Linked DNA regions of Bombyx mori. The protein of the gene in region 6 purifies or fractionates together with the protein of the main gene of each other region. This does not show direct contact. Links are inferred from orthologs where the notes say so. Each region holds a gene or a part of one and is shown on either strand. Other genes may lie near its edges.

Region 1 (4,614 bases), on a different chromosome or scaffold from region 6:
TAAAATTGCATACGAAAAAAAAAAAAAAGTTTTAAAGACACCCGGTGGCACCCGGATTTCATTTTGCGGTCTTCTCTGTGTTTGTATTAAGGAATGATTAAGTAAAGATTAGAAAAAGAGGATAAGGATTAGCTGCTTTTTGAAGTCGTTGTGGCCTAACGGATAAGACGTCCGGTGCATTCGTGTTGAAGCGATGCACCGGAGTTCGAATCCCGCAGGCGGGTACCAATTTTTCTAATGAAATACGTACTCAACAAATGTTCACGATTGACTTCCACGGTGAAGGAATAACATCGTGTAATAAAAATGAAACCCGCAAAATTATAATTTGCGTAATTACTGGTGGTAGGACCTCTTGTGAGTCCGCACGGGTAGGTACCACCGCCCCGCCTGTTTCTGCCGTGAAGCAGTAATACGTTTCGGTTTGAAGGGTGGGGCAGCCGTTGTGACTATACTGAGACCTTAGAACTATATCTCAAGGTGTGTGGCGCATTTACGTTGTAGATGTCTATGGGCTCCAGTAACCACTTAACATCAGGTGGGCTGTGAGCTCGTCCATACAGCTAAGAAAAAAAGAAAAAAAAAAGCTGTTTCCGGATAAAATTACAGAGAAACATACGGCTTTCCTGCCTTATTCAAATCAAATTATGTATGTACCTTTTCAATTTGCTCTCGAATCTGTCGTAACTGATTTTCTTTCCTTCGTTTCTCCATGAATACTTGTTCTATTTCATCTTGCATCTTCTGATTTGTCGCCTCCAATTCTCTCGTTTGTTCCTCAACAGATTGCTTTGTCGCTTCTCCGTTTAGTATACGAATTGCAGTATTATAGTCTGCGAGACGTCCCTGTAAATCTACAATATTGATAAAATTTACTACTACTCCTGCCATTACACGGTTCTTCAATCCTAATTATTTTAGAAAAAAATTCCTTGGAAATACTACTTATTCTGAAGGAAAGAAATCGTATCTCGTTTTGATTACCCCTGAAAACATACATGCAACATTTTATGATGGTCAATTGAGTAGTTAAGATGTGAAAGCCTTAAAAAGAAAACTCATTTTCTAACAGGAAAACAAAAACATTTTTTTTTAGTAATTACCTTTTAGTCATAACGTAAAAATCCTTGGTACCTTTTTTTTTCCATTAGTTACATGATTTAAAGTCAGATTCTTAGTATAATTTATATCACTTTATTTATTATTTTTGAAAAATCTATAGCTGCTCTCTCTCTCTTTTCGATCGGTCCCTCACTGCTGAGGATCGTGACTCCGTCCGATTCCGTCAACCAGCTCTCTCCATCGATCCCGTTTTGTAGCTTGGTGGAGTGCGTCGCTGACAGGTACCGTCACTTCCTCCTCCGCTATTTGGTCTAAATTAACTTAAAAGGAGCTGTTCATAAACAAATATTTACAATATAAATCTTACCGGTTAGTTCTTGTGCCAATTCCCTGACCCGCTTCTCATAGTGCTTTTTCGCGGACTTCTCTCTTTCGCCTGCCTCAGCTTGTTCACTCAACCTCGCTATTTCAGCTTTCATTTCTCTAATTTTCACTTGCATCAATTCTTCCCAATATCGTTTATCCTGTAGCTGTCTGGTTCGAAAACCGCGACCAGTACCAGTTCGTAATCCTGAGATACCTTGTTGAGTAATTGGTCGATCAATCTATTTCAGAAAGTATTAAAGTATTTAATGAAATAAATATATATTGATAAGTAAGTAAGTCGAGACTTAGTTATTTTTATTAAACATATCTTTTAGTATTCGACCTCACAGCATAAGTTGGGCGGCGGAATTCGCTGTCATAATTAACTATTTTACACCAGCTAGACCGAGATCTCGTTCCTTGTCTACGATTCGCAAAATAGTAAATAGAGATTTTGTCTTAAGATGAAGGTATGATCGTCTTAATATTGTAAATAACGAAGACTCAAAGACTCCGGGGAAATTAATAAACTTTAATTAAATTATAAGGTCGCGAAGGTCCACTTTGAGGAGTGGTGGTCTCCTTCATTGTGAAATTCAAGGGATGAGATAAGATGAGAAGGGCTATGAATCATTTGTACATAATTATGTATATGTATCGAGGTATATAATATTATGTCTTTCTGTATTCTATAAGCTAACATTCGCACACCAGCAAGATTTCTTTGTTTAGTTTCCCTGCTTAATTTGGTTTTTTTAATCGTCTTCAAAAAAGGTGAAAAGAACTTGATTGTTTTTTAAATTTACCATCAAAATTTAAATTTTATCAAGATTTGACCAATAGTTTATGAGTCATCCTTAATAATGCACATTTAATTGATTTCTTTTTAAAATATACACGTGAATTATGAAAAATATGATTCTAACGGCTTCGGAATGAGCTCCCCTCCACAGTGTTTCTCGAGCGCTATGACTTGTCCTTCTTCAAACGAGGCTTGTGGAGAGTACCCAACGGTAGGCAGCGGCTTAGCTCTGCCCCTGGCATTCCTGAAGTCCATGGGCGACGGTAACCACTCACCATCAGGTGGGCCGTATGCTCGTCTGCCTACAAGGGCAATAATAATAAAAAGGTATTTTATTTTTGGATTGGTTAATTAATTTAAAACAAACCATGGAAAAACCGGTAACGGCAGTTTGTTGTCGGCCTGCTGTTGGAGGAGCAGGACCAAAGCCGGTCGTCAGTCTGGAGGCGGTACTGCCTCGATATGCAGATGTGGGACGCATACTGCCGCTTCTAAAAACAAACTTATTTGGACCCGGGAACGGACATACGTGATGTATTATAATAAATTACCACTTTCATTAATTTGATATACATTTACTATGCTGTTGTATGTTTTGACATTTTTTCCTGTGTCTTTTAGGTGATCTTCGCTGAATCTGGTCCCAATTTCCTTACATAAACTTTAGCTTATTATTATTTATTTACACCTGCAGCCTATGGGTAGTATACGCAACTGGCGTCCAATATAACAATGGGTTCAGGGCACTGATGGGGCTGCCGCGTTTCTGTAGCTCGTCGAGGATGTTTACAGACGCCGGTGTTGATGGGTTTGCCGCAATACTTAGGAAACGAGCAGCATCCCTGATGCGGCGGGTGCGTGGCGGCTCCAACGGTTACCTGCAACTCATTGCGAACAGAATGGAGATGGATTTTCCAATCTTCTTAGCATGGAATCGCCTACATGTGGCAGGATAAATATATTATTATTATGTATTTCCAAACTACATTTTTATATATGGGCTAAAATATGATCTGAAATAAATGATTATTATTATTAGCGCCAAACCTTTACATGATTCTCAGACCTCTATCAGGCGATAGATCGGTGAGGAATTTTATTTGTTTTGCACAACGCGGAGACGATTGATCGCATGATCCTTTATAGCTAATAGGGTCTCTACGACAACGTGTCCGTAGCTGTGTCTTAGAAAAGGAAACTAGGTTCAACTATTAGGCTCAACACGACTACAATTAATTCTTTAAAATCAGATTGTGACTAAAGTTAAAGTTAAATAAGTTTAAAGATAATAAATAAAATATAATGAAAAAATAAAGAATTGAAAAATAATATTTTTGCTTTTATCGACTGAAATAGTTTTTTATTCAAGATTATTTATTTTTCTTTTTACTTAAACCGTGAATTTTTATGCTGACAATTTTGACTCGTTTGTTTTAAAATCTTGGAGAAGACCGATATAATTGAAATCATTGGAATATTCCAGAACTAAACTAAAACATTGATTACCGTGAAAGAGCAGAGCCGTTATTCGTGTGCTCGCGATAACCCCTTCTGGAAACTGGCCGCGTCGTGTCGGACCGTATACTCCCACTGCCATCGGAAAAATCCATAATCACACTAACGTTAACGCCTCCTTAATTAGTATCCACCAACAAAAATGTAGGTCGAGTCTGAATTAATTTGAAATAAATAGATGCAAACTGACGGAGTGTTTGGCGGTTGTTGCTATGGCAACGAGTAACTAACTCGTCATGGACAAGTCTGAAGTTGCACTAATGAAAAATTGTGTGTTTTATTGCTATAGCAAAAAATCTGATTAGAGTATCATTAGTGGGAGGACTTCTTGTAGTGCGCACAGGTAGGTACCACCACGCTGCCTATTTTTGCCGTGAAGCAGTAATGCGTTTCGGTTTGAAGGGTGGGGTTGCCGTTGTAACTGTACTGAGATCTTAGAACTTTTATCTCAAGGTGGGTGACGGCATTTACGTTGTAGATATCTATGAGCTCCGGTAACCACTTAGCATCAGGTGAGCCGTGAGCTCGTTCACTCACGTAAGCAATAAAAAAATAAAGTAGCCGTCTATTAAGAGTGCTGTGCAATATAACCATACCGCAGTGAAAGTATCAATACAGCCAATGTATATTACAATTTACGCACTTAAATTTTCACTGAACGACTTATCTTTATAAAGGAATCTGATCTATCACAACATTTTGAGAATTTGTCTTCATGGGGTTCATGTTATCTGAATTACCATTACCATTTGTTAATACACGGCCGGCAATTTCGTTTACCTTACAGCGTTCATGTTACAATTGCTATCTTAGTTAAAACTCTGTATTGCAAAGCGTATTGAACCACCAAGCGTTAACTGATTACCGTA
Region 2 (3,817 bases), on a different chromosome or scaffold from region 6:
GTGGCTGGCGGGCGAGTCACCGCCAGATGTCGCCTTGCAGTACTACAGACGAGCTGCGCGACTAGAGCCGACTAATGTAATTATTATACAGTCAATAAAATGTACAAGTACAACAAACAGTAATAAACAAATAATAAATCATGTTAAAGTAAGTGTCAAGTAAGTACAAAAGCGATAGTAAAATTGATATTATAGCAATAACTTTTGCTCGTGGTCGAACGCTATCGTGACGTCTGTATTATGCGAGAATTTTGAAGTTATGTATACGTAACGTCAGTTGGGCAGGAATTGGCAGTTAGTACGCTTTTATGGGTTGAAAAGAATGCTGGTGTTATCGAAGCTATTCAAACTTCAACATGACGGGTAAAATTGGAAGCGTCAACCAGAACGGGGGAGTGGGGTACTTATAAATACTGCAGCACCTACTTAGCAACACAAGGGCAATTGCTTTCTTTTTTATTTATTTATTGCTTAGATGGGTGGACGAGCTCACAGCCCACCTGGTGTTAAGTGGTTACATAGACATCTACAACGTAAATGCGCAACTCACCTTGAGATATAAGTTCTAAGGTCTCAGTATAGTTACAACGGCTGCCCCACGCTTCAAACCGAAACGCATTACTGCTTCACGGCAGAAATAAGCAGGGTGGTGGTACCTACCCGTGCGGACTCACAAGCGGTCCTACCAGTAATTACGCAAATTATAATTTTGCGGGTTTGATTTTTACTACACAATCTTATTCCTTCACCGTGGAAGTCAATCGTGAGTATTTGTTAAGTACGTATTTCGTTAGAAAAATTGGTACCCGCCTGCGGGCTTCGAACACCGGTGCATCGCTACATCCGAATGCACCGGTCGTCTTATCCTTTAGGCTACGACGATATAAAATGTAACGAACGATACAGGGGTAAATAGACGACGCTAGAGGAACCCGGCCCACCTATAATTAGTCATAATAATTAAAACTCGAACAGCCACAATGGGGCTTACTGATGGGCGGCTGCCTCCGAGCCACGGGCCGGTACCAGGAAGCACTCAGCCTGTATAAGAAAATGAATACCCGTTTCCCCGACAATGTACAATGTGAGTTAACTTGTTATCTTGAAAAGTCGATTTAAATAACAAAGAGAAAAATGTAAATCAGTTCAGAGTAATGATGTTGGCAAAAGTTGACAATGAAAATAAGCGAACACTCTAAAGGTCATTTTAATGTGTATTTATGCGAAATATAGTCGAATAAATAAATAAATCAGGTGAAAGACCTTACTGAAACCGCATTTAACGAGTGTGTGCGTCAGGCCTCGGTTCGCAAACTATGGAAAACATCTGTCAAGGCTTTAATGAGCAAGAATTCCACATGACCACGACTGCTCTGCCAAGAGCAACCGATTATGATGAGTCGAATAATATAGTAACTATATTTCCGCAGAAATTATTCCCTTCTCTTTAAGTTGATGGAGAAGATACTTGAAATATTTTCAGGTCTGAAATTAATAGTGAAATTGTGCGGAGATCAAGGTTTATCTGAGACGAGCACGTGGACGCGAGAGTTACAGCGTGCGCAGGCCAGGCTCAAGCAGCAGGAAAGAGGTTCGTCAAACATTACATCAGGCAAACGTTTACTTTAAAAAAATGGCCCTCACAAGCAGTATGAACAACATTCATGTTCCTACCCAGTCTTGTAACTCCAATCAAAAAGACCTGTCTTTCTCAATTTATACATTTCTTTCCCTATTTACCAACAGATCGTTTCATTTGTATAACCATATTTGTGTATTATTTACTCAAATAAAATAAAGTTTCAATTGTAATTGAAAATGACGGGAGGTAAAATATTGAAATGTTCAAATTTTTTATGTACTTTAAATAATTTAAATTGGATAGATTAGTAAGCAAGCTCACGGCTAACTGACTATACTACTAGTACTAGTAGTAGACGGCTAACCTAGAGTAATTGTTTATACATACCTATCATCTAAGGAACCATGCACTCTAGTTTGTCATATGACCCTTATTCTATTGCCATTGGAATTTCAACCTTATAGTGAACGTTAAGATAAGGGCGCCGATCACGAATAAAAATGCATCAATAATTTTGTAGTAAGTAAGACACATTAATACCAGTCGATGTTTTTAGCATCTGTGATATCTGCGGGGAGTGGATCGTCCAGAGCGAGTCTGTCACCAGTCGACTTAAGAGGTGAGTAAGCTTTATTCTACACCAATATAAAATCAAAATAAAGTTAACTTTACAGACGAAGAGTGAAATGCGGCGGGCGGTTTTATCGCTAAGAGTATAAACTCTTCTAATTACTTTTAAACAGTACTTAAAGGTTGTCGGTCAAAATGTCACCGACAAAATCAAGATCTGTCTTCGAATTCTAGATGGTGTAGTGTGGTATAACTCGAAATCAATAATCATAGTGTTGTTGCAAGGTTTTTCAGAATTCGCTTTTTCACGGATTCGTGTTTCGATATCCTTGTTACCCTAATTTTTAAAATAAAATTCACCCTAAAAATAGTGGCATAACATTTACACATCCATTGGAATCACTAAAGATGTTGAGTGGGTGCGAGTGTTGATTATCAAGATTTGTACGTGTTCATTGCGCGTTTTATAAATTTCACTAGTAAAACCATACATATTGTCGCACCCATGTATACTGAATAAGAACACATAAAACATAAACTTCTAGAAAATTATTTCATTTCTTTTATGTTTTTACAAAATTATGGGGTCCCAGCCGTTAAATAACCATATTTTACAACAAACATACGTAATCATTATTAAATGTATACCAGTGTGGTGTTTTTAAATTTTTTCTTAATTGATTTTCCATCATGCTGTCCTTATTATGGTTATGAAAACCTACGAGGGCAAGTGTATATAAAACAATCAAAAATAACTTAACTTCCATAATGAAACATAATTGAACTTATAATACAGGAAAACATCAAGAAGTGATAAATGTATATGATATACAACTTGTCACTATATAGCTTAAATATTCAGTGTATTAGATCAGGGGTAGGCAACGCGGCCCCCCTGGGCGACATGGCGCTGGCGCCCCCGATCGATTTTTAATGCGCCCTCGCTGGACTAATGTAAATGTATGACAGCCAGAGCGATTTATTTACTCTTTTCAAACGGCGATATACAGCAAGTAGTCAGTTGAGTTTAGGATTGTGCATAGATTAGCAGTTTGCTAACCTTGAGCGTATCTAATAACACGCACGTATTTTTTGTTAGTGTGTGATCGTATTTCGAATAGACCACGCGTAGACCGTGCATTTAAAACTATCAAGTAATCCGAAATAATTATTTTCTTTCAATACCGAACAAAGCTTAATTACTTACATTTAGATAATTGTTTAAGGACCGGGAACTCTAAATATATCCCCAATTATAAGAAATTAGCTGAAAATATGGACACCCAAGTTGCACACTGAATTATATGTATCATTATGTATGACACCAACAAAATAAAGTTATAAAAAATCTGTTTTTTTAATGCCTATTGATACCTGTTGATTATCTGTAAAACATGCGCCCTCGGTGATTTTCAAATTTAGTATTGCGCCCTTAAGGACAAACAGGTTAACGACCCCTGTATTCGATAATAGATAGGGTCACTATGCTAAATTATTAGACAAATTGTAGCCAGCCCTCGAGACCCGGAATTCAAAACAATATTAATAAACCCTTTCTCTCCTTTATTATAAATAATAGGTATTGAAATGCTAAACTCCATGACTAATAAATCCTAATCACAGACATCAATTTTGTATCATATTTTTACAAAGTGAATTAATGTG
Region 3 (4,247 bases), on a different chromosome or scaffold from region 6:
GACTCTCCCATTCGTCCTCGTCACAGGACTTTTTACATATTGTACAAACATAAACTTGTCCAGAATTAACTTCTTGTTTGATATCTGTTGGTTGATCTGTGTTGCTTGACTTGAGTTTTTTATTCTTGGACCCTGGGGGGCGACCCACTCTCTTACCTTTACGAGGCATCTTCAATTAAGTTTGCAAATCGTGTTTACAGAACAATAGTTTATTTAGTTTACAAAACGAAACTACATAAACAATCAAGAAGTTAGTGGGTATACACTTTGATATTACTTTCACTCAGGCGCTTTGAGAAAATTGTATAGCTTCACACAATTTGGTCTTCAAGTAAACTTTAGACAGAACAGAGCATCAGGCGCCACGTCTGCATATTAAATTTACATTCAGTCTTGCCAATGTAGTGTAGATCTAAGGAAAAGCATATCGAGCCACAATTTTAAACGATTAATTAAGACATAAATAAGTCTTGTTAAAATATTTATTTTGTAATAAATTGATTATTTTGATGCAATTTAAAAGAATTATTGATAAAATTATAGACCTACAAATTGTACACAGACAATAAATAAACATTAGTAATTGTGCTGATTTGTGCTTACGTAGGATAATCTATGATACGGTAAGTCTGCTTTTTTTTTTCAATATGAAAATTAAATGAGCTTCTTGACATGATATGGCGTATGTTGAGTTCAAATTAAAATTATGTGGATTTTTTTTCGAAAGTGGGAAAGGTGTATTGTAAATTACCAACTTGGGATATGCGTACCTCTGGGGTGTTCCGAATCCCATTGGGGGTACGTGAAAATTATATTGGTAATGGCCGTAAATACTGAGAAGTTTAAGTAGTTAACTTAAAAAAATTAAAAATATGATGATAATGTTGTTTTGTCTACAACATATAGTTTTAAATGAACTTTATTCTAATAACTATTTAATAAAAACGACCGATAAACCAGAAATGAGACATTTTTTAAGTATGGAGTTATCAGGATTTAATCGAAGAGAAATGAGACACATTAGGTATGGAGTTATCAAGGTTGGAGAACTCAAAAAAAGTTTAAGGGGTATGGGAATGAAAAATGTTTGGAAAGCACTGCTTTAGATCACCGTGGCGGGCACCGTGGATTTTCATAGCAGCAAAAATCAATCCTTCTTTTTGAAAGTACGTAATAAAAACAAGATCGCTGTTGCGCAAATTACTTTAGATTGCCAATTTGAAAGCTCCGTAAATCCTTGTATTTTACTGAGTGTTCATTTAATGCCATTCCATCCCATCTCATTGGTTTTAAATATGTTTTATTCTTTTTCACTTTTCATTCAAACGATATGGGTTTTGCCTGGAATTTTTTACAATTGTCATTAAAGCTATCTTGAAAATGGATACCGGCTGTATGGGCATATATCCCGTTCTTTGACCAACAAAACATTTTTGGGTTCTAAGCCGTTTCCATGGGAACGTACAGTGTACACAAAATTAAAAATACCACGACTCCTGACAACCTTTATGAAACCTATGTTTCTTGTTAAATTATTGTAATCAACAATTTTTTGTGTCGTTAAGAATAGGTATATGGTTATTTGATATTTATTGCTTCATGTTTACTTTGTAATATGTGCAATGGAAAAAGAAATAGATCCACAGATCATAAAAGAAACTCAAACATCTCTCGGAAAATATGTGAAGAGGCCGCCTTTAAGTGAAAAATTACTGAAGAAGCCTCCCTTTAGATTTCTACATGATATTATTACTAGCGTGAGTGCATATATTTTTCAAAGCACTTTAAAAACACACTTAGAAAATTCAAAATAGCAATGACTTCAAAAATGCACTTTTCCAGTGACGTATGATAAGATTCAGCGCCCTGAGCCGATAAGGTTTAACGCCTTAATAAAATAAACGAAAAAAATATTTTTTTTAATACGAAATTAAATCGTGCTTTATTGTTTGTGTGTAAAGAATAATCATAAAGAATGAAAATATGAAAATGGCCAAGTAAAGAAAAAGCAAAACTGAGCGCGTAATGATGCGGTTTGCGTCTATCCTAACAGGAGCCTTTTTAGTTTTAGGGTATCTACCCTAGAACCCTAGAGGCGTATTTACGCTGTGTAATTCCACTGACGAGACCTGTTACAGAAAAATGACCAATCTGAACAGAAATTAAATAAAGCAACACCATATCTATCTATACTTTATTTTTTTATATTAAAAAGCTGAAGAGTTTGTTTGTTTGGTTGAACTCGCTAATCTCAGGAACGACTGGTCCGATTTGAAAATTTCTTTCAGTGTATATAGGCTATTTAACATCACACTAAGACCAATACGAGCGGAGCACTAATAAATAATGTTTCAAAATCGGGTTTATTTCCTTTTGGGAGCCTCCGCTGCGTGCGCTGCGGAAACGGTTTAAGTGTCGCTAAAATAAAATATGACAAAAAAATCCCCTTTAAAAGTTTTAAAAAAAACTCCGCGACGGCATATATTGGCTCACTAAAACCTTTTTTAAACTAACCAAATTTGTTCTAAAATAAAGCATTATTTGTGACGGTGTTTTTATAAAGATGATATTACTTAATACTTATCCAAAGAAATACGTTATTCATTACAAGCATTTAATTTAAAAGAAATTGGCCCTTTACATAATTTGATTTCAATGAGTATCCTAGAAGATATCGCAGTTTTAAAATAACATTAGCAAAATGCATAAGAAAAATAATGATCAAGCACGTAATAATGGTGTAGGTAGAAGGCGCCGCCGCCGCGCCGGTGCGCGGCGACATAAAATAAGAACAAAAAAGAAGTACCCAAATCATTTCAAGATAGGCTGAAAATTGTAGATTTTTTCGATTTCTCCAGGATCCCATCATCAGATCCTGATCCTGATGATTACTTACAGGACCATTCGGGAAGTCTAGCGTTTCGAACAAAAAAAAAGAATTATCAGAATCAGTTCAAGCATTCTCGAGATATCGGTGAACAACATAGATAAAAATATGGTGGTCGAATTGATAACCTCCTCTTTTGAAGTCGGTTAAAAAGCGTGACTTTGGTCCCTTAAATAGCTCCTTAACATTCTTTATTAAATAATATTTACACCTTCTATGAAGTCCCGGGTAAAATTTAGCGTTATCCCAAAGTTAATTAAAGTCTAAGTAAAATAGTCTGATATTACTTACAAAATGGCTTAAGTAGCTAACATGTCCTGGTAACAAATTTTTTATTACCATTGTATTCACTGCCTGATCTGAGCTGATGTTAATCTGTTACCAAAGTCCATAGACATCGAGACCTATGTAAGTCTAAGTTTTTACTAATCATTATTTTCTCTAATGCTTTTTATTATTAATTCTAGGTTTTAAAAACAACTGGATTTTTCGAAGGTTTATTTGAAAAGGACGAGTTAACTTCTGAGAATGTTAAAGATAGAGAGAGTAAAATACAGTTTTTAAATAAAGTCATTTCAGTTATACGTAAGTTGATTTTAGATGTATAGATGGATGAACGTGCTCACAGCTCGCCTGGGGTTCTAATATCGGAGTCCATAGACTTCAAAAAGTGAATACCTACCTTTACTAGGGTCTCTATTTCAATTGGATAGTAGTTCTGCAAATTAGTTTTATGTAAAATTTTAAAGCTAAAATAGGTGACCGAGCTCACTGCATACCCGTGGTTATCGGAGTTCATACACATCAACAACGGAAATGGCAGCACCCACCTTGAGACATGAGTTATAAATCTTAGTTCTATAAGTTCCATAGCACGATGGCTACTCTACTCTGTCTTAATGTATTAGACAGGCAATATTAAGTTATGAGAATATTGTAAGGTTCAAATAACCGTATCAGATACCGTTTTTTTTCTATCTATTAATGTAATAACTACCGCTGTCTTGCCCATATTCTTTTCGAAACTTTCGCAGCTACTATAATATAATATATATTAGATTAATACGTTGTGTTCCCGAACTCACTCACATATTAACACAATTAAGTATGTATTTAAAAAAACTTACAAGTATTCTTAATTTAGTAAATTTATATACAGATTATACAACAGGAAAACCTATCAATATTAAGCCTTCAAAGATAGTAGCAGGTCAAGAGGCAGAGAAAACGAATGAACTCTTACAATGTTTGGCACAAGCTCTAGACAACAATTTATCGTCAGTAGAAGCAGTGAAAAAATATAAAGAAAATGCATCACAAAATACTGTGCTTATAAAAGAAACGAGATCTAAAGAATCGA
Region 4 (4,397 bases), on a different chromosome or scaffold from region 6:
AACATTTACATACTTAAATTCCAATAGAACTATATTACATGAAGCGGGTATTTGGTATCATAAATTCGGATTTAATTGAAACGATTAAAGTCTTGTTATTTTTTTAATTAAACAAACACTACAGATCTGTCTAACTGCTTATATAGGTACATTAAATAATCATTAAATAGTATTTATATATAATTAAATCACATAATCTTCACTTCAATTTTATGAACAAAGCCTTGTTATTCTTGTTATCATAAACTTTTTTTTAGGGGATTTTATGATCTGGTAACTGAGACTTTTAAGTCATGTCTTATTTTAATTTATATTCATATTTTTATGAAAAATGATATTATGGAGTGAAATGAAATGAAAATGATTAATTTGAGACATTAATCAACTGGGATGAAATCAAATGAAATGAAATGAGATGATATGGGATGAAATATAATCTCAGTAAAATGGTGGTCATTTACTAAGATTTTTTCAGTGGACCTTTTTCGAGGATCCCGAGAAGTTACGTCCGAGCGGCTTTGTTTCATTTTCCCACATTTGTGCACTTTCACAGATATTACACAGTTAATATGCCACCATTAGTACACATTTAAACCTGAAGAAACACTAAATAGACAAAATAAAACAAATCACACAACTTCACTCCTCGCGTTCCCGGCAAAAAATCATCATAAACTTTAAAGGAACAAATTACGCAAATTGTAAACTATTTTATTTATTTAAGGATTACCAACAGGGTTTACAGTAAGACATAAAATAGCATTGACATGTATAGAGCAATAATAATTGATAGCTGCAACTCTAATTAGAGGCAATCACAGCATGCATTACATGAACAGATTTAACAATAATAATAATAATAATAAAACAAAAGAAAGACAACATGGACAGCAATACCCAAGTATTCAGACCAAGGCTGAGGTCAGTTCAACAACAACTTTTTATAATTTTGTTCCTGAATATTGGAAGGGAATCGCCAAATATGTCAAGGTTTTCAGCTTTACTGACTAGATTATTATAAAAGTTAGTTAGACGAGGAGCAGGTGAGTGCAGTAAATTGGTTCTGCTAAAGCGGGTGCTGAAAAGAGCACCGCTCATAACTTTTTCGTGATTTGGACAATTTTTTACGTGATAAAAAGTTTTCTTCCCAGGAGGCAGTACAAAATGCTTTCACTCAGTTTGTAGAATCTAGATCACCAGGGTTCTATAGCAAAAGCATAAATGACCTTCCTATTAGATGGTAGCAATGTATAGATACATAATAATGGTAGATATTTTAATTAAATAATTATTAAAAAAAAAAGGTTTTTAAATTCTTCAGTACAAATCGGCAATTTCATACTTTAACGCTTAATATATTAATTTAACATATTCAATCATTATTTCAAATCTGTCACAAAGTGAAATACGTTTTTAAAATACTGTTTTCTTTACAATACCTGTCTATAAAAAGACTAATCCTTTTCGTACAAAATACTCATTAATCTAGAACTGTTTTGATAAAACGACTCCATATTATATTGTTTTAACCAACGTCGATACGTTGCTAAGACAACAAAAGCAGTACAACTAAAACAAACAATACCTACATTAATAGTAAAGATTATAAAAATTACATTACATTTAAAAAAAATAGCAACTAGAAGATTGATTTGCTATTGGTATTCTTTTAGATTTTAGTTACAAATCATAAAGAAGGATACAAATACAATAATTTATTTAATGTACTACTACAACTATAGTGAAATTACTACTACAGTGTCTAGTTACTGATTATTATTATTTTATTGATTCACTCAGTTATGGCAGAAGAATTGCAAAAAGTTCACCTATTTTACGATGACATCAATAAAATAAAGGTTCTTGAGGAGAATGTTTTGAAAGATACTGAAGATTTAAGGGACACCTGTAAGGAGTACGAAAATAGTAGGTATCTGAGTTCAACTGTAAACATTGGATACGTTCTATGTATACACAAGTTTTTATTAAACTTAGTTATTGTTGTCGTTATCAATTAATGTTTCAGTTTATTGTAAGATCGTACGAGCTGGTACGATTACTCGGATTGTTGGATTTAATAACCGAAAATCCTACGATCTCGTGATATTTATGTACTAGTTATTAGTAATATAACTGTGCCATTTTCGGCATTGCAGAGGTGCAAAATTTTGAAAAAATTATAAGCTCGCTGTTAGATCTAATTAAAGATCTCGGCGACAATGTTGAAAATAAGAAAATGGCTGCAATAGGAGCAATGAACTTATTAAAATCAATAGCCAAAGATAAGGAATCCGAACAGCTGAAATTGCAAGTAAGATTGGTTCTTTATTATCATAATTTATAGATAGCCATTTAATTAAACGAAAATATAAATTTAATAACTAGGTATGAAATGTTATATAATTTTGTTGGAAAATGTCTTCAATAATTTAATTTCGTGCTCAGGCACTCAAACTTTACCTTTTACTCACTTTACTTTTTATAAACTTTTTTACTCAAGATCTTACATTTTAGTTCATTTTACCGTATATTATAAGACTACTTTAATTTTGGAAGCCATCTTCTATCCTTAAAAAACCCGTTTTTTAACCTTTTCTTATTGCTCACAAGGAGCAGAGAAACCACCCCACTCCAAGTAAGCCTATTCGTCACAGCGAGCAACATGGATATACTGTGACTACCCCATTGTGTTCTTTTTTTTCTTTGCATATCAACATACATACATGGACATATTTCCATTACTTCAACATAGCAGAGTTTGCTCTCCGAGAACTGTGTATCTTCTGCTTTGCAGTAGTCACACAGTATGCTGTACAGACGTTTCTCCCTTCATCTCATAATATCAGCGGGCGGGATTAGCAGCAGAGCCCAGTCCGTACATTTCCCTTTTCTACGTGTTGTGTCCCGTGGGGGTTTTCACTTGAACCGGGACACGCACGGGAACTCGAATCCTTTAAGTAGGGCTATGGCGTGAAGTTTTTCTAATATCGTTTGCCAGAATGATTTACATTTAATAGCCGCGAATGCGTTCGGTTCATGTTTTTAATGTTCTAGATAGCTCACTGATTTAATTAAAGGCATCTCAGCGCTGCATTTAGTCAATCTACTTGTGATTTTATTGCTTTTATACACGATAGAGCGCTGTGACTTAGGTGTCTTCGCAGCTTCACTAAGATGGACGGGCTTTGTCAGAACGGATGGAATCTAATAACAGCTCCTCGAACAACTCCAAAAGACGTTTAATAGGTCATAGAGATCGGCTCTGCGAGTGTATTTATCACATAGGATCGGAATCACGACCTGCTGAGAAAAATCGAAAGCAACTCATTGCCTTTATGAGCTTATTGTCACTCTTCAACTAATTTCATCCAGAAATTAGAATCAAAAATATTGAAACTTATGTTACGTACTCTTTTCTTAGGGTCGTTAAAAAGATAATGAGAGGTAATTATTTTATTCACTAGTGACGAGTCATATGACAAACTGACAGTTGTGACCGTTGACCGGTTAATTTAAATAAAGAATATTTCTTCTGTTACTGTGATGTAGCTTTTTTTTATCATCGCTCTTATTGATAACTTTAATATTGTACGTAAGTTTGATGAATACAAGAAATACAACACTTTCAGGCGGAAATTAACGACAAGACTTCATTATTGGAACAAATAGACAGCGAATACGATACACTTCAAATCCTTGAAGCAACTCAGATGGAAACAATTGAATATCTTACACAATTACGTTAATTTTAATAAATAAATAAATAAAAGTGATTTTTAGTAATATATTTAGTATATATTATTATCCTTTTCAATCGGTTGTTTAAGTTCTAATAATATTATTACCTCTACTTATTTGTTTAGAATTGATACCATTAGTTAGGTATTATAGCAATGGATTTTCAGTTATAGAACGCGTTCTCAAACCATCATTAACAAAATATCATTGGGCTTGAAAATAACGTAATGTGTTATCTTTAAATCACCGCTTAAGTTTACGAGCCCTTAGCTTATATGTTAAATGTAGTCAGACTTCAGTCGATAGTTTGTAATCATTTTAATTTTCCTGTTCATCAACACACATTAAATAATAAATCCGTAGTATTGTGATTTTACAAGTTACGGAATGCAACGCTTAATGATTAAATTAAGTGGCGTTCATGCCTCTCTGCGCCGCCATTATCCTATCACTGAAGTAAACAATCTGGTGGGATCAGGAAGAATATATTTTAAAAAGGAAGTTTTAGGCTTAGAAAAATAGATATCCCAAGTGTATAAACCTGAAAGGGGACTATGACGAAAAATAAAGAAAATAGAATTTAATAAAAGTTAATTGCGTCATACTTATTATCACTCTATTTAACACCCCTAGTTTAGTCTCAAATCTCAATTGTGTAG
Region 5 (4,269 bases), on a different chromosome or scaffold from region 6:
TGTCGGCCTGGGGACCGGCGAAGGGGGCCTAAGAAGACGACGTGCAAGCTGCTCTGCACGCGTTTTATGCATGAGCATCCGGGTGATGGAAGGCCGGCTATCCTCAACCCACGCTGGTTCTGACCCAGCGGGGTATTCCGTAGGATAGACCATTCTAACCGGCGCCATCTAGGCGGGCTTCGGATAGCCTGCCAACCGAGAGGGCTGGTGGTCGTGGCGCCGACGACCGCCAGTCCGGCGTCCCGAGGGGGAGGGTGATGGGAGAGATTTGCTCCGCACTAAACGCTTCACTTTCCCCCCTTTGCCTTTTCATGAGTTTTGTCTCATGCGAGGTTTGGACGTTGGTTGTTGAGAGACAGGAGGTTTTAGTCGGTTCGACTCCGACATGCCCCGCCCTTCATCCCCAGTGAAGGGCGGAAGACCGGCGATTTCCTCCTGACAAAAAAAAAAAAAAAAAAATGGCTAGACTAAGTAATTATTTCGATTTACGACAAAATTTCCTTAACATTATTTTCCACTTAGCCAGTTTTACTCAGCCACTGTTGATACTAATACCCGTTTTTGACCGCTACTTAATTCACACTTACGACTACAAAAAATTCAAAACTCATTGTTTTCCTATCTCGATACAAGAGTTATAGTTGGCTTCCCAAAAAGGTTTACGTTTCATCATTAACTAGTCTAACACTGCCCGTTTTGCTAACCGATCTTTGATGTAGGTTTGATTTGTTAGCTACGAAACTTCACAAGATTCCTCGTTAGGCCAATCTCAAAATTTCCTAAAAAATTCAACGAAATCGGTCCAACCGCTTTGATGTCTATAGGGAACATACACAGATCGACGTTAACATATGCAAATAATAAAATTTAATTTCCTTCTGCGTGTAGAAACTTAACGCTGCGTTGATGAAAATGCAAAAATGAACTGCTTCCAAAATCACCTAATTTTCCCATCGCTTGTACCAGTGATAAATCCGTTCTCAGCGCGCAGTAGCTGCACAGGGACTCCGGTAAGTGGAAACTTGTTACAAATCACTTTCTTTCCACTCCAGTCGGCTCCCACTCGATAAACAAACACCATGTTATCGCTCTGTGCAACTCCTAACAGTTCGGAATTTTCGCTGAACGATATTCCTATACAAAATTTAATATGATTAAATTTAACTAATTAATTAAAAAGCAGATTTGCTATTCGTGTATCATTGTTTTCTATATTTATTATATTTTCTTAACACTGAAAAGTCAGTACGATTTATAAAGGCAAAAATTTGACATTTGTAAATTTCTTTTAGTTCAACTACATTATAGAGAGCGGGAGACATTATACTTTATTGCACATCAATTTTGAAGTCATCGTAGCCTAAAGGATAAGACGTCCAGTGCATTCATATGTAGCGATGCAACGATGTTCGAATCCCGCAGGCGGCTACCAATTTGTCAATGAAATACGTACTTAACAAATGTTCACGAATGACTTCCGCGGTGAAGGAATAACATCGTGTAATAAAAATGAAACCCGCAAAAATATTATTTGGGTAATTACTGGTGGTAGGACCTCTTGTGAGTCCGCACGGGTAGGTACCACTCCTACTCATTTATGCCGTGAAGCAATAATTCGTTTTGGTTTGAAGGGTGGGGCAGCCGTTGTAATTATACTGAGACCTTAGAACTCATATCTCAACATTAATCACTAGTTGATTTTTACTCAATAGAGAAAAAAGTTAAGAAAAGCACGACACCTGTAGGTGCTCTTTCCAATGTAATCGTCGAGCATCGATTCTGATTTCTGCGCCGGGGATTTTTTTGGGGATCTCCGCAAAATACACATACCACCAAGGCGTATTAACCACCAATTTATTTATGCTAATAACCAACGTGAAAATCCAAAATCGTGAAATACCTATTTTACTTGATATCTAATTCAAATTATACATTTATGTTCTGGACTCAAAATGCTACTACATAAATAACCGAAAATACTGAAATAACTTATATGACATTAATAGTAAATGACAAAGTATTATTAATAGTAAGTACAAGTCGTTTTACCAGTGATAACGTAAGACTTTTTTCCAGCTGCCGGATCAGCAGGCTTCGTGGAAAACTTGTCTCTGCGTACGCCATCACGGTCAAAAACCAATATTAAACGCTCACACGTGGCCACCGCCAATTTAACACTGTTAGGAGACCAGCATATATCTGCTATTGGATTCTCGACATTCTGTGAACAAATTATATTGAAATGAGTCCTGTCGAGGATTTTGTAAATTGAAGAACCGCATTCGGTTCTAATCATACACTCCTTGCCATTTATTTACGATAGATACCACAACTGGGTGCGCTCTATACTGGATTTGGCCATCTCCACTAACAACTCGAACTAAGTGCGAGTTTTTGAACGTTCACGATAGCGTAAAAGTTAACTTAAATTTGTATGCAGTTGGCACAGCGCCCCTAGGGACAAACGTAAGGAAACATTTGGTGCAAGAATTAGCGGTTCTTCGGCATAACAAGTGGATGGCAGCATTCACACTGTAATGTAAATGGGTCTGGTAACCACCTAAATCACGTAGACTGAAAACTTGTTCAGCCACTTGTGCAATAAAAATACATATATTTAGAAAACGCTGACTTCTTACATCCATACACTTTACACCAGTCCATAGCTCAATAAGTGACGAAACAATAACCATTACTCCATAACTCGGCGCTTAAGTTAAAATAACTTAATTTAAATTTTAAACTATTTACCTGGGCTTCTAAAAACGTTTTAGAATACTTCAGTTTCATTTTGGTTTAATTTATAACCAGCATAAAAACTTGTTTACCTAAAATGTAGATTGTACTTGTTACCTAGCAACCTACAAACAATAAACAAAAGTTGAGCGTGACTAAGATCTTTTTGAACATCTGTACAGTATTTAAAGGATATCTATGATACCTATGATCTAGGTTTTTTTAAGGTAACCGAAAGCAAATCTACCAATCCGTAATGAACTCTGAAATATTTACTAAAAATTAATTAATAAAGTTGAACATTTTAAAAATAAGAGGGCAGAGACGTTTTCAAAAATATACATTGTGTAAAACTTATGGTAGCTGTTCCCGAAAGCCATAAGTAATTACCCTTAAAAACTTATTCATAAAATCAGACGAATACATGAAGCCAGGGACATTTCTCAAAGTATAATTTAGCCAGGATTAGATAGTTAGAAGATTAGACAATTTAAAAAGTTTTTTTTTAATTCAATTAAAAAATATATAGTGATATGGTACTAGAAAATAGTAATTGATCCCATTAACACAATAGAGTCGACTTTCAATGTATAACTGTGCAATTTAAATAATAAATTTCATGTCAGTTATTAAAAGTCATCATAAATTCAATACTAATGTAGAACATTCGCATTACGGCGTTAATGCAGAGCAGTGGTTGTATTAATTCTATTTCAACACTAATATTTCAACACTGGATTCTGGAAAATGTTAGTGGGTACATCCTTATTAAGAAATGTGAGCTGTAGCTCAACACTAGTATACAAAAAAGGTCTACGAAGAGTAGCGTCATGATTGGAAAATATGATAAGACTTGGCTTCGGCCTTATTGAAATTTTTATTTGAGGAAGAAATTAAAAAGGACTTGGCTTCGACTTTTTTGAAAAATTATTTCAGAAAATATATAGAACAGACAAGGCTGTATGGGCTTAGATCCCCTTGCCTTGCCTAACAAGGAAAAATTGTACAAAAATAAAACACTATGGTCTCAGAGAAAATGTATAACAAGGTGAATGAAGTTAGCCCCTCAAAAAAATTTTTTTTTCCTATTTTATTCTTATTTTCTATTAATTCGTTTGTTCATCATTTGTTCATGATTGTTCACTATTAATAATTGTTTGTTCTGCATATATTTATTTAAAAAATATATTTAAAAATATACCTACAAGTTAGCCCCTCTAATGCAATTTTTTTTATTTTTTCATCCTTAATGACTCGTAAATATTCATTTTCGATTGTTCTTATATAAAACATGTTTGTTCTCTTTCGAAATTACTCGTTTTTTGTTTAATTTATTATTTTTATTAGTTGAATAAATGTATGCAAAATATGTGTACTGCGCATGCGTCAACTATAATGCCTAAACTTTCTACGCGGTTTTAATCGTGAAAAAAAAAACAAATATAAATCCTGAAGGAGCAATTAATTGGTATACAGTTTAATTAAAAAAATTAATAAATGAAGTAATGTGCATTGGCGTTAAGTTAGACCAAA
Region 6 (4,338 bases):
TACACATGTGAAAAATAAATACCATATAAGATAAACTTACATACGATTAAATACAAATAAATACTAAAAATATACAAGATAAAATACAAAAGAAGTAGGAACTTATACAGTTATATCATAGAAGCAAAGTAGTGCGATTTCAATCTGGACTTGAAAATTTCCGGCGAGGAAGATAGTTTAACGCTTAAGGGTAACGCATTCCATAAACGGACAGCCTCAACCGCAAAGGAATGGTCATAAAATGACGTCAATACTACTTGTACAATACTTTTTGTAATACAATATTTAAGTCGCAATTCAAAAATCTAACAGATATTAATTAATATATCTTTTACAGTTTAATATCGCGTTTTTTTTTTCTTCATTGTATCGTGGGGTGACAGGTTATTTGGCTCGACATTTATCGATGTAACTAAAGGTCCGTTTTATTTGGTATTAGCATCAACACTTCGATGTTTTTATTCAATTAAGTTTACCCCAATCAAATAGCTAAAGAAGTTTTTTTGGTATGATATTTTTTCCAAATTTTAAACTTTGAATATGAGTCCTGTAAAGTTGCAAATATGTCGCTGAAACCAAATAGCCTCTCACTCCTAGAATTATTATATCCGACGCTTCGAATACTTTGAGGGGGAAGAGGTCATGGATGGAGTGTGTGAATGACGATATGAGAGAGAGAGAGAGAGAGAGAGAGGAGTGAGTGTTGAGATGACGGCTGATAGAAGAGAATGGAAGAGAAAAATTTGCTGTGCCGACCCCACCTAGTGGGATAAGGTAGAGAAAAAGAAAAAGAGTTTCGAATACTTTTACAGTTGTCGTGGCCCGACGTCCGTGTAAAAAAAAACTATGAAAAGCATATTATATTAAATCGTAGAATTAATTTTAATTATGTCTACGACTCGAGAAAACCGTATAAAACGCTGATAGGTATTTATTTATAGCCCACCAATATAAAAATTAATGTCATCAAAATTTACAATTTTTTTTCTGATCCTTCTTGATCGTGTTCTTCTTTTAACTGAGGTCGTCGATTTTCAGCAACTCTAAGAGCTGAAGTGAGGTAGGCCAATGAATGTCTTCATTTGGTAAAAGCAAGGGCATCTATGAGGCCTTTTGCAATTTACTTTAGCCACAACGCCACCAGTTTGTGACAATTGTTAGGTTCCTAACTGACAATATGACCAAAGTAGCCTAGTAGTACAAAGAAGAGTTTGCATACATGAGACAAAATAAATCTTAAAAAACTACAAACAGTTATTGAAACAAGACATTAATACATTTCATGTCTTATAAATGCATTGTTCGGTAGTCCAATAAAGTCGGGCAAAATAGTCGTATTAAACCATACATTGCATTCAACAAATAACAAACCATTTCGTTTTGACAGAATTATTTTGTTGAGACTGCTTAGTGGCAAACCTTGGATTCGATTTGCCAACATTAATAGCGACACACCAAAAACTTCGTACAAATACTGTATCAATCTAAAATAATAATTAACTAGCTGAACCCCTCCGCTTCGCTGGGCATTTAAACATTATTATTTCTCAACCCCACAAAAATTCTCATCATTAACGCCCCCGCAACTGGTGTAGGGAGTCCAACACATCAATGTTAGCCTATCCATTAAGTACATGTATTATCTACATGGATACCAAGTTTCAAGTCAATCGGATGCACGGTTCAGTAGTTATAACGGAACATCCGTAAAAACCACTAGATTGATGTATTAGTATAGATTGTATTTAGTACACTTCGTTGGCAATCATCCCAGATTCCTTGTTATTAAGTAAACTGTTGCCATTCGATTCCTTTGTTGTCAGAAGCCACAGCAACACCGTGATCTGAAAGTCCATTTCCTGTATATCTTTCTTCAAGGTCGCGACAGCTTTCTTTGCTGTAACTAGAGGAGAATTGTCGTTCATCGAGGACCCTTTAGATTCGGTTCTTTGTTTAATATTCTCTAGCTTTGTTGAAAGCTCGTTCAACATGTCTTGCCTTTCAGTGATACCTACACTGGCCTCTTTATATTCATTTGACACTTTGTTTAGTTCGTCGAGTAGAGAACCATATTCTTTGACAAGAGGCTCGAATTGCTCATTCAATATATTCTCCCTGGCCGTTACCTTATCCATAGCCGATGAAATGCTACTGTGCAATTTATTCAGCTGGGTTCCCGTTGTTTTAAATCTATCGAATAACTCTTCTTTGTAACTCCTCATCTGTGCATGTCTCGCTCGCCAGTCGCGTCCATCGGCGGATATCTTCAATCTTAGAGCCGGAGCGACCCTTTCCAATTCCAACTTCCACGCTTCCCAATCGTGAACCTTTTGGGCTATGTTACTTGGTTCTTTTTCGTCTGCATTAATATCTCCTTCAGATTCATCAGAATAAATGGGCATTTCATCTTCAACTTTGTCCAGTAATATTTCGGTTTCGTCTTCAACTTGATCAATGTCATCAACCGACTCTTCTGATTCTGGTATGTCAACAACTGGTTTTTGCCATTCAAAGTTTTCTTTTTTCAATGCTTCATCTGCGAGAATATTCAGGATACTACAAACTTGATCGCCCCATCCTTGTTTTAGTTTATGCGAAGAGAAATCTACATTAACTTCGTTTTCTTTGAGTACATCAATTACTGCAGCTATGATTGTGTTAGGATCGTCCTCTTCGTTGGGCTGAGCGAAATCCTTGCCACACTTCCTTATCAACCAGGCCGCTGTCGAGGCAAACACGAAAAACTGTTCGTTCGGATTAGTGGACGTCACGAAATAATATCGACTCAACGGTTTCATTTTTATCTGGGGACGCAGATCCGTGTCGATTTTTAATAAACGTAATTTATCCATAAGTCTTAAATCCATGTTGATAATGTTTGAATTACGCTAAAAGTAATGCGTGATTGTTTTGAAGTGCTTCGCTACGGTTGCTATGGTGATCAGTCCACCGCTTAAATGTGAAGTGTATTTATTATCTATGGTCTACAGTTCGTTGGTAAACATAGATATTACGCTAATATTAGATTTGTAAATGCACTGAATTTCAAGGAACTACACAAATTCCAGAAATAAGTGATAGGTACATCGAAAAATAAATGAAATAACAACTTCTTGCTGCCGGTTCGGGCTCATATGTCAAGACGATTGAACGATTTTAAACTGGTAGTAGGACCTTGGGAGTCCGCACGGGTAGGTACCACCACCCCGCCTATTTCCGCCGTGAAGCAGTAATGCGTTTCGGTTCGAAGGGTGGGGGTAGCCGTTGTAACTATACTTAGAACTTATATCTCGAGGTGGGTGGCGCATTTACGTTGTAGATGTCTATGGGCTCCAGTAACCACTTAACACCAGGCGGACTGTGAGCTTGTTCATCCATATAAGCAATAAAAAAAAACCTTTTCTGTATTCTTGGTTCTAAACAAGTTAGTTTCCTTATATCAAGTCGGTTTATTAATACAGAAGCTCTGATACTCATTTTCTACGCTTGTATTATTATTACAAACGTTGGGAACAATACTACGCATTCTCTCACCCATGTTTGGATATCGGTATGATTAATTTTAATTAAACCATTGTTAAACTAAGATTCATTAATAATTTTGAAACGGTTGTGTTCATCAATTTGCTGAACATATTCTCTGGTGCGTACTCAACAAGAAATTAACTGTGTCTATGAGACATGAAAATGAACTTAATGTAAAACGAAATGTACTAGTGAAGATGAGATTGGAAGCTGTAGTGGTAGCGGTAAGCAGCGGCTTGGCTCTGCCCCTGGGATTGCTGAAGTCCACGGGCGACGTTAACCAACCACTCACAGGTGGGCCGTATGCTCGTCTGCCTATAAGGGCAATAAAAACAAAGAAAAAAAAGCTGCTAATATTAAAATTAACAGAGCAACAATTGGCCGATTAACGCACCGTCGCGGTTTTCGCAAATTAATATTTTTTTTTATCACACGATTTTATTGCATCACTTTGGGAGGCATACACGAAAACGTGTTATGTACGTATTTCATTACAAAAATGTTTATCTGCCTGCGGTATTGGAACACTGGCATGGTTGCATCGTTCGATACTAGTAAGAGCGTCTTATCTAGGCCACGACAATTCCAATGACTGCAAGATGCTCTGCCACCAATACTTTAGATAGAAACTAGAAGGTTATACGTAATTACGGTTTCGCCCGATCCATTAACGGTGCTTTTAGGTACCTACCTCAAGCACCGGTCACCGTCCTCATCGGACCCGTCGCTTACGACGAAGGACTCGACGAATGAATTAACCCATAGACATAGCCCACTGAGTTTCTCGCCGAATCATTTTAGTGGGTCGCGTTT
Region 7 (4,564 bases), on a different chromosome or scaffold from region 6:
TTTTAACATTTCTTAAATTTGATACTGCAAATGCCACCTTAGTTACTGCTACCTTAATGGAAAAACCATTTAGTTCCAGTTTTTCAGGGAGCTTCTAGAAAGGTCCCATGGTGTAATGGTTAGCACTCTGGACTCTGAATCCAGCGATCCGAGTTCAAGTCTCGGTGGGACCTACTATTTTTAGATTTCAAGTACAATTTTAATTTTTTTTAATCCTAAAAATAGCATCAAATGTATTTTACACATCGACTTATTATTTATAATACGCCTGTAGTACGCTCCGAGCAATTTCTCTTAAAGCTCTGTATATGCTAAGGGTTAATTAATCTATTTCGGGCAAGTCTATTTCTGCGGTAAAACTGTCATGCAATCCACTTTGAAGAATGGGAAAACCATTATACAATAGAATTGAGAATTCGACCTAACGTGTCAAGGAGGGTGGCGGCTTCCACGTTGTAATGTTTTCAGTAACCACTTAACATCAAGTTAGCCGTGAGCTAGGTCACTCCTCAATGAAATAAAATAACATAATTAACATTGTTTTTATAGTTTAATAACGCGTTTTTATTGTAATTACATAAATTCTAACATTTCGAATTCTTTAGTTTTCGTGGTCACGGACGACGATTAAGCAAAAGTAGTTTTAATTATGTCTACAACTCGGGAATACAGAAGAAAATACTAAACACATAGTAATGTCTTGTGTTGAACTCAGATACGAGTTGAAAGTTAATCAACTAATCATCGGGATAAGAAAAACCGGAGTCAAATCGACATTGAATAAATTTCAATGTTTTATTGGTGTCTTGATATCATTGTGAATGTCAGTAAGGATTCAGCTCGATAGCAGAGAGATGACAAGACAGCAAAAAGATAAATATGAAGAATAGATCTGCACTCATTATTACTACATCAAAAATATCAAGGAAGAAAAATATTATTTAAAGCCATACAGATGCCATAATTAAACCAAATTCGGAAAAATACTTAGGATAGATTTCTTGGTCAAGGGAGCTAGAAAAGCTGACTGGATATTCTCAACAAATACATGCATGCGGTGGAATGTCTCTCTAAACAACATTGGAGTATTCCTGCTGTCGCACACACGCATCGCGATTTATTGAAATTTATGTGATAAATTTGAAGGTTCCTCTGTCTATCTTCTGCCAGTGCTTGGATTTAATACGTCATGTGGTATAATTGTCATAGATAATAGATTTTTTACTGGTGGTAGGACCACTTTTGAGTCCGCGCGGATAGGTACCACCGTCTTGCCTATTTCTGCCGTGAAGCAGTGGTGCGTTTCGATTTGAAGGGTGGGGCAGCCGTCGTAACTATACTGAGAATTTAGAACTTGTATGTCAAGGTGGGTGACGCGTCTACGTTGTAGATGTCTATGGGCTCCAGTAACCACTTAACACCAGGTGGGCTGTGACCTAGTCCACCCATCTGAGCAATAAAAAAAAAAAGATTATCAATCTATAAAATGAAGTTTGTCATGCCAATGTCGTCTTGGTAACGCTGGGTATAAACGACAAACAAATACAATACACGATTGGGATTTCCAAAAAGAAACTTGAAATGAGTTTTTCTACATAATTATACGAGTAAAGCAAAAGAATACAGTGAAGTGAAAATACAACATAGCATCTACCTTTCATAAGCTACAACGTATTGAAAAATCATCATGCAACCTAATAAATTGAAGATACTGATGATAGGTCCCTCTGAAGTAAGTTTCCATAATAATACAAAATGATCTTAAAACAAATACCTATAAATTAAATTATAGCAATTAATTAGGTTCCCGCGGACACTTTTTAGCTTCACATACAATTAAAGTAGAGCTTTGATTATATTATCAATTAGGCAGATTAATATTATTTTAACATTCAAAAGTCTAAGTCTTGTTTTAGGAATAGTGAAATTACAATTTATTTCCGATTTCATTTTTATAGAGTGGCAAAACTCAAATAGCTAATTTTTTATCGAATTCTATTAATATTGATGAAGCGGGAAACCCGAAGCCTACTCAAGGATTAAGAATAGTGGAATTCGAACAGTCAAATATAAACTATACCGGAAGAAACGTAGATATAGAATTGTGGGACTGTAGTGGTGATCATAGGTAAGTGTTGAATATTTTTTTGTTAACAATATCAAATGAATACCTAAATTATAACTTTACAGTAACTTTAAAAACTTAACTAAAACTCTGGTGTCAGGCGCATTTTTAGTAGGTACACTTTTCTATTATTATTGAAACGAATTCCATAGAGCACAAATGGGAATCGAACTCGGAACCTGTAACTCAGTAATCAGGGCCACTCACCACTACGCCACTAGGATGTCAAGCTTTGGTTTGCCCACCGATTGCCGAGGAAGGTTTTTTCAGCTTATGTATGTGTCTCGTTCGTTGGAATGATTTGCAACCTTTGACCATTTGATAAATTTAATTATATGAGGTGTGACGTGATTTATTGCAATAAATTCATTGTATTAAAGATAGAACGCGCCAGAATTTATAATCTAGCCAGGCAGGTCCTAACCGAATTATATAAGCCTACATACAAATTTATTTTATTCGTAACTAAATAGCTAAAAGTGTGAAATAAAATACATTATTGAATGAAACAAACACTCGACTACTTTAAAATACACAATATAGGAAATTTAATTTAAAGTTTAGTAAAAGTATTGTAGGCAAAGCAAGGGGATAAAACATACGTGTGTGTTATTTAAGCACTCCCGTCTGTAATAAATACATTTATTAACATTCCAGTTATGTATTATGGGTTAACGCTCGCAGTAATGTAGAAAAATAAATTGTATCCCTCGAGGAAAGCACTTTTTTGTGGATGAAAGGTGCTCCATTTCATTGTCTGTACTCCCGACAACGTGTAGGTATTACAAAATTCAGTGTATCGGTGTAGTCAAGACTGTCTTCATTAGTCCAGACTTGAAAATACAAGAAATTCACGTTCGAATTTATTATACTATTAAAGCATGGATTATATTACGTTCATTTTATGGTGATATTATAGTTTGTGTTTTCTTTTTATGTGTTTGTAGTGCAACCGAATTCTTACTACGTGAAGTTTTTAACCGATTGCATTTTAAGCCGGAACATAACGTTGTTTGTTTGTTTTTGTTATGGTACTAACTCAATTGATTTGACGTGATTCTCAAACTGTAAATAAGATTCAGACCACTTTCCACCAGACAACACCAGAAAATATAAAAGTTACTTCAAATATGAAACTAAACGAAGATCTTTGATCACCTCATTTAATTTTGTCAGCTAGGTATGCACCTTTAATAATACCATTTTCGATATCCACGCATTAATCAGTGACTAAGACTAATGCAATGATAATGCAATTTAAAATTACACATTTTTTTTATAATCATTACAAACCATATACCTACCTAATCACGTAGATACCTACGCTCAATGACGCACCAAAAAACATCGGATGAGTCAAACATGAGTTGTTATAGCGAAGCAGAATTAAATAACTGTTTTTTAATCTTGTGTACTGTAATTAAACTCTCACGACAATTGTTTTGATTTAATACTAAAATTAATCGTTCCTCGTAGCATAGTCTCCCTCCACGTCTCTACCTAGATTGTATGGACGACTCACGTTTCAGATTCGAATCATGCTGGCCTGCTTTAAGATTTGGAGTTAAAGGAGTAATTTTAGTTTGTTCATCTAACACATCAGAAGTCGCTCCTAGAGAATTAGAATTGCTATATAACTACTTTGTATCTCAACCAAAGCTATCCACTAAACAGTGTGTGGTGTTTTACAACTGCGTAGATGATCAATACGATGTTGGTCATCTTAATTTATGTAAGTAGTCATCATTCGTTGTTAGGTAAATGATACATAGAAATTGTTGTATTTCAGACACCTATATTGAAAAATTTCATTTTCAGCTTCGACATTTTCAAGAATATCTCAAGTCGCTGTGAATTTGAGAACAGAACGTGAACGTTTGAAAACTGAATTTTCTAATTACATAACCTCTGTACTTCAGTCGGTATAAAGTATAATATTATCCGGTGACGTCATTCTTATGTATAGAATTTGGTGAAAAATAAATAAACACATACTTACGTATATCACTGTGACATTCATTTTCATTCCACTGAAAAACATGGAAAAATCGAAGTTCTGGGCATAGTTAATAAGGTAGTCAATGTACCAAATACAAGTTCAATCAAAGTTAAAAAAAGTACATTTAAACATGAAATTTGAGATCATAAGTTAATCATACAAGGCTTAAGTATATTTAATTACGTAAAGCCAAAATGCCGCAACGATCTTTAGAGGATCTTCTGGAATGAAAAACACAGACGGTAGATATGTTTCAGAGACTCGTTATTAGCGGTCACATATACTTCCGCTATTTAATTATTAAAAATATAATATTAAATAAAAATATAAGATATAATATAATTTTACATACGAAAACACGGACGTAGTTCATTGCCAGAATTTGATTAGCCCAGTGGTCCAATCAATGACAGCAACCATGATAATTACGTACCTTTAGA

Evidence for each region.
Region 1: the proteins of intraflagellar transport protein 57 homolog (region 6) and intraflagellar transport protein 74 homolog purify together in Homo sapiens (affinity purification with mass spectrometry; 3 studies listed by BioGRID and IntAct, counting the BioPlex papers as one, with this or other methods). This does not show direct contact. The link is inferred for Bombyx mori from reciprocal best matches to the Homo sapiens genes IFT57 and IFT74.
Region 2: the proteins of intraflagellar transport protein 57 homolog (region 6) and intraflagellar transport protein 88 homolog purify together in Homo sapiens (affinity purification with mass spectrometry; 3 studies listed by BioGRID and IntAct, counting the BioPlex papers as one, with this or other methods). This does not show direct contact. The link is inferred for Bombyx mori from reciprocal best matches to the Homo sapiens genes IFT57 and IFT88.
Region 3: the proteins of intraflagellar transport protein 57 homolog (region 6) and TRAF3-interacting protein 1 purify together in Homo sapiens (affinity purification with mass spectrometry; 3 studies listed by BioGRID and IntAct, counting the BioPlex papers as one, with this or other methods). This does not show direct contact. The link is inferred for Bombyx mori from reciprocal best matches to the Homo sapiens genes IFT57 and TRAF3IP1.
Region 4: the proteins of intraflagellar transport protein 57 homolog (region 6) and intraflagellar transport protein 20 homolog purify together in Homo sapiens (affinity purification with mass spectrometry; 3 studies listed by BioGRID and IntAct, counting the BioPlex papers as one, with this or other methods). This does not show direct contact. The link is inferred for Bombyx mori from reciprocal best matches to the Homo sapiens genes IFT57 and IFT20.
Region 5: the proteins of intraflagellar transport protein 57 homolog (region 6) and intraflagellar transport protein 172 homolog purify together in Homo sapiens (affinity purification with mass spectrometry; 3 studies listed by BioGRID and IntAct, counting the BioPlex papers as one, with this or other methods). This does not show direct contact. The link is inferred for Bombyx mori from reciprocal best matches to the Homo sapiens genes IFT57 and IFT172.
Region 7: the proteins of intraflagellar transport protein 57 homolog (region 6) and intraflagellar transport protein 22 homolog purify together in Homo sapiens (affinity purification with mass spectrometry; 3 studies listed by BioGRID and IntAct, counting the BioPlex papers as one, with this or other methods). This does not show direct contact. The link is inferred for Bombyx mori from reciprocal best matches to the Homo sapiens genes IFT57 and IFT22.

The regions. Positions count from the first base shown.
Region 1 is NC_085111.1:14,776,505-14,781,118, forward strand, and holds the start of intraflagellar transport protein 74 homolog, read right to left. Parts: upstream 3,105-4,614; 5' UTR 2,917-3,104; intron 2,722-2,916; 5' UTR 2,712-2,721; coding exon 2,598-2,711; intron 1,668-2,597; coding exon 1,430-1,667; intron 855-1,429; coding exon 658-854; intron 1-657. UniProt on the Homo sapiens protein: Component of the intraflagellar transport (IFT) complex B: together with IFT81, forms a tubulin-binding module that specifically mediates transport of tubulin within the cilium. Binds beta-tubulin via its basic region. Required for ciliogenesis.
Region 2 is NC_085119.1:6,965,531-6,969,347, forward strand, and holds part of intraflagellar transport protein 88 homolog, read left to right. Parts: coding exon 1-76; intron 77-975; coding exon 976-1,084; intron 1,085-1,483; coding exon 1,484-1,591; intron 1,592-2,138; coding exon 2,139-2,201; intron 2,202-3,817. UniProt on the Homo sapiens protein: Positively regulates primary cilium biogenesis. Also involved in autophagy since it is required for trafficking of ATG16L and the expansion of the autophagic compartment.
Region 3 is NC_085131.1:5,592,704-5,596,950, reverse strand, and holds the start of TRAF3-interacting protein 1, read left to right. Parts: upstream 1-1,439; 5' UTR 1,440-1,622; coding exon 1,623-1,757; intron 1,758-3,354; coding exon 3,355-3,472; intron 3,473-4,046; coding exon 4,047-4,247. Other genes in the region: gastrula zinc finger protein XlCGF57.1, read right to left, coding at 1-169.
Region 4 is NC_085116.1:6,783,231-6,787,627, reverse strand, and holds intraflagellar transport protein 20 homolog, read left to right. Parts: upstream 1-1,498; 5' UTR 1,499-1,596; exon of another isoform or gene 1,597-1,800; 5' UTR 1,801-1,802; coding exon 1,803-1,926; intron 1,927-2,156; coding exon 2,157-2,311; intron 2,312-3,629; coding exon 3,630-3,746; 3' UTR 3,747-3,785; downstream 3,786-4,397. UniProt on the Homo sapiens protein: Part of intraflagellar transport (IFT) particles involved in ciliary process assembly. May play a role in the trafficking of ciliary membrane proteins from the Golgi complex to the cilium.
Region 5 is NC_085117.1:13,504,468-13,508,736, forward strand, and holds the start of intraflagellar transport protein 172 homolog, read right to left. Parts: upstream 2,860-4,269; 5' UTR 2,791-2,859; coding exon 2,752-2,790; intron 2,222-2,751; coding exon 2,050-2,221; intron 1,135-2,049; coding exon 942-1,134; intron 1-941. UniProt on the Homo sapiens protein: Required for the maintenance and formation of cilia. Plays an indirect role in hedgehog (Hh) signaling, cilia being required for all activity of the hedgehog pathway.
Region 6 is NC_085120.1:9,285,626-9,289,963, reverse strand, and holds the start of intraflagellar transport protein 57 homolog, read right to left. Parts: upstream 2,940-4,338; 5' UTR 2,868-2,939; coding exon 1,746-2,867; 3' UTR 1-1,745. UniProt on the Homo sapiens protein: Required for the formation of cilia. Plays an indirect role in sonic hedgehog signaling, cilia being required for all activity of the hedgehog pathway.
Region 7 is NC_085114.1:9,665,665-9,670,228, reverse strand, and holds intraflagellar transport protein 22 homolog, read left to right. Parts: upstream 1-1,514; 5' UTR 1,515-1,687; coding exon 1,688-1,732; intron 1,733-1,958; coding exon 1,959-2,128; intron 2,129-3,654; coding exon 3,655-3,857; intron 3,858-3,943; coding exon 3,944-4,053; 3' UTR 4,054-4,127; downstream 4,128-4,564. UniProt on the Homo sapiens protein: Small GTPase-like component of the intraflagellar transport (IFT) complex B.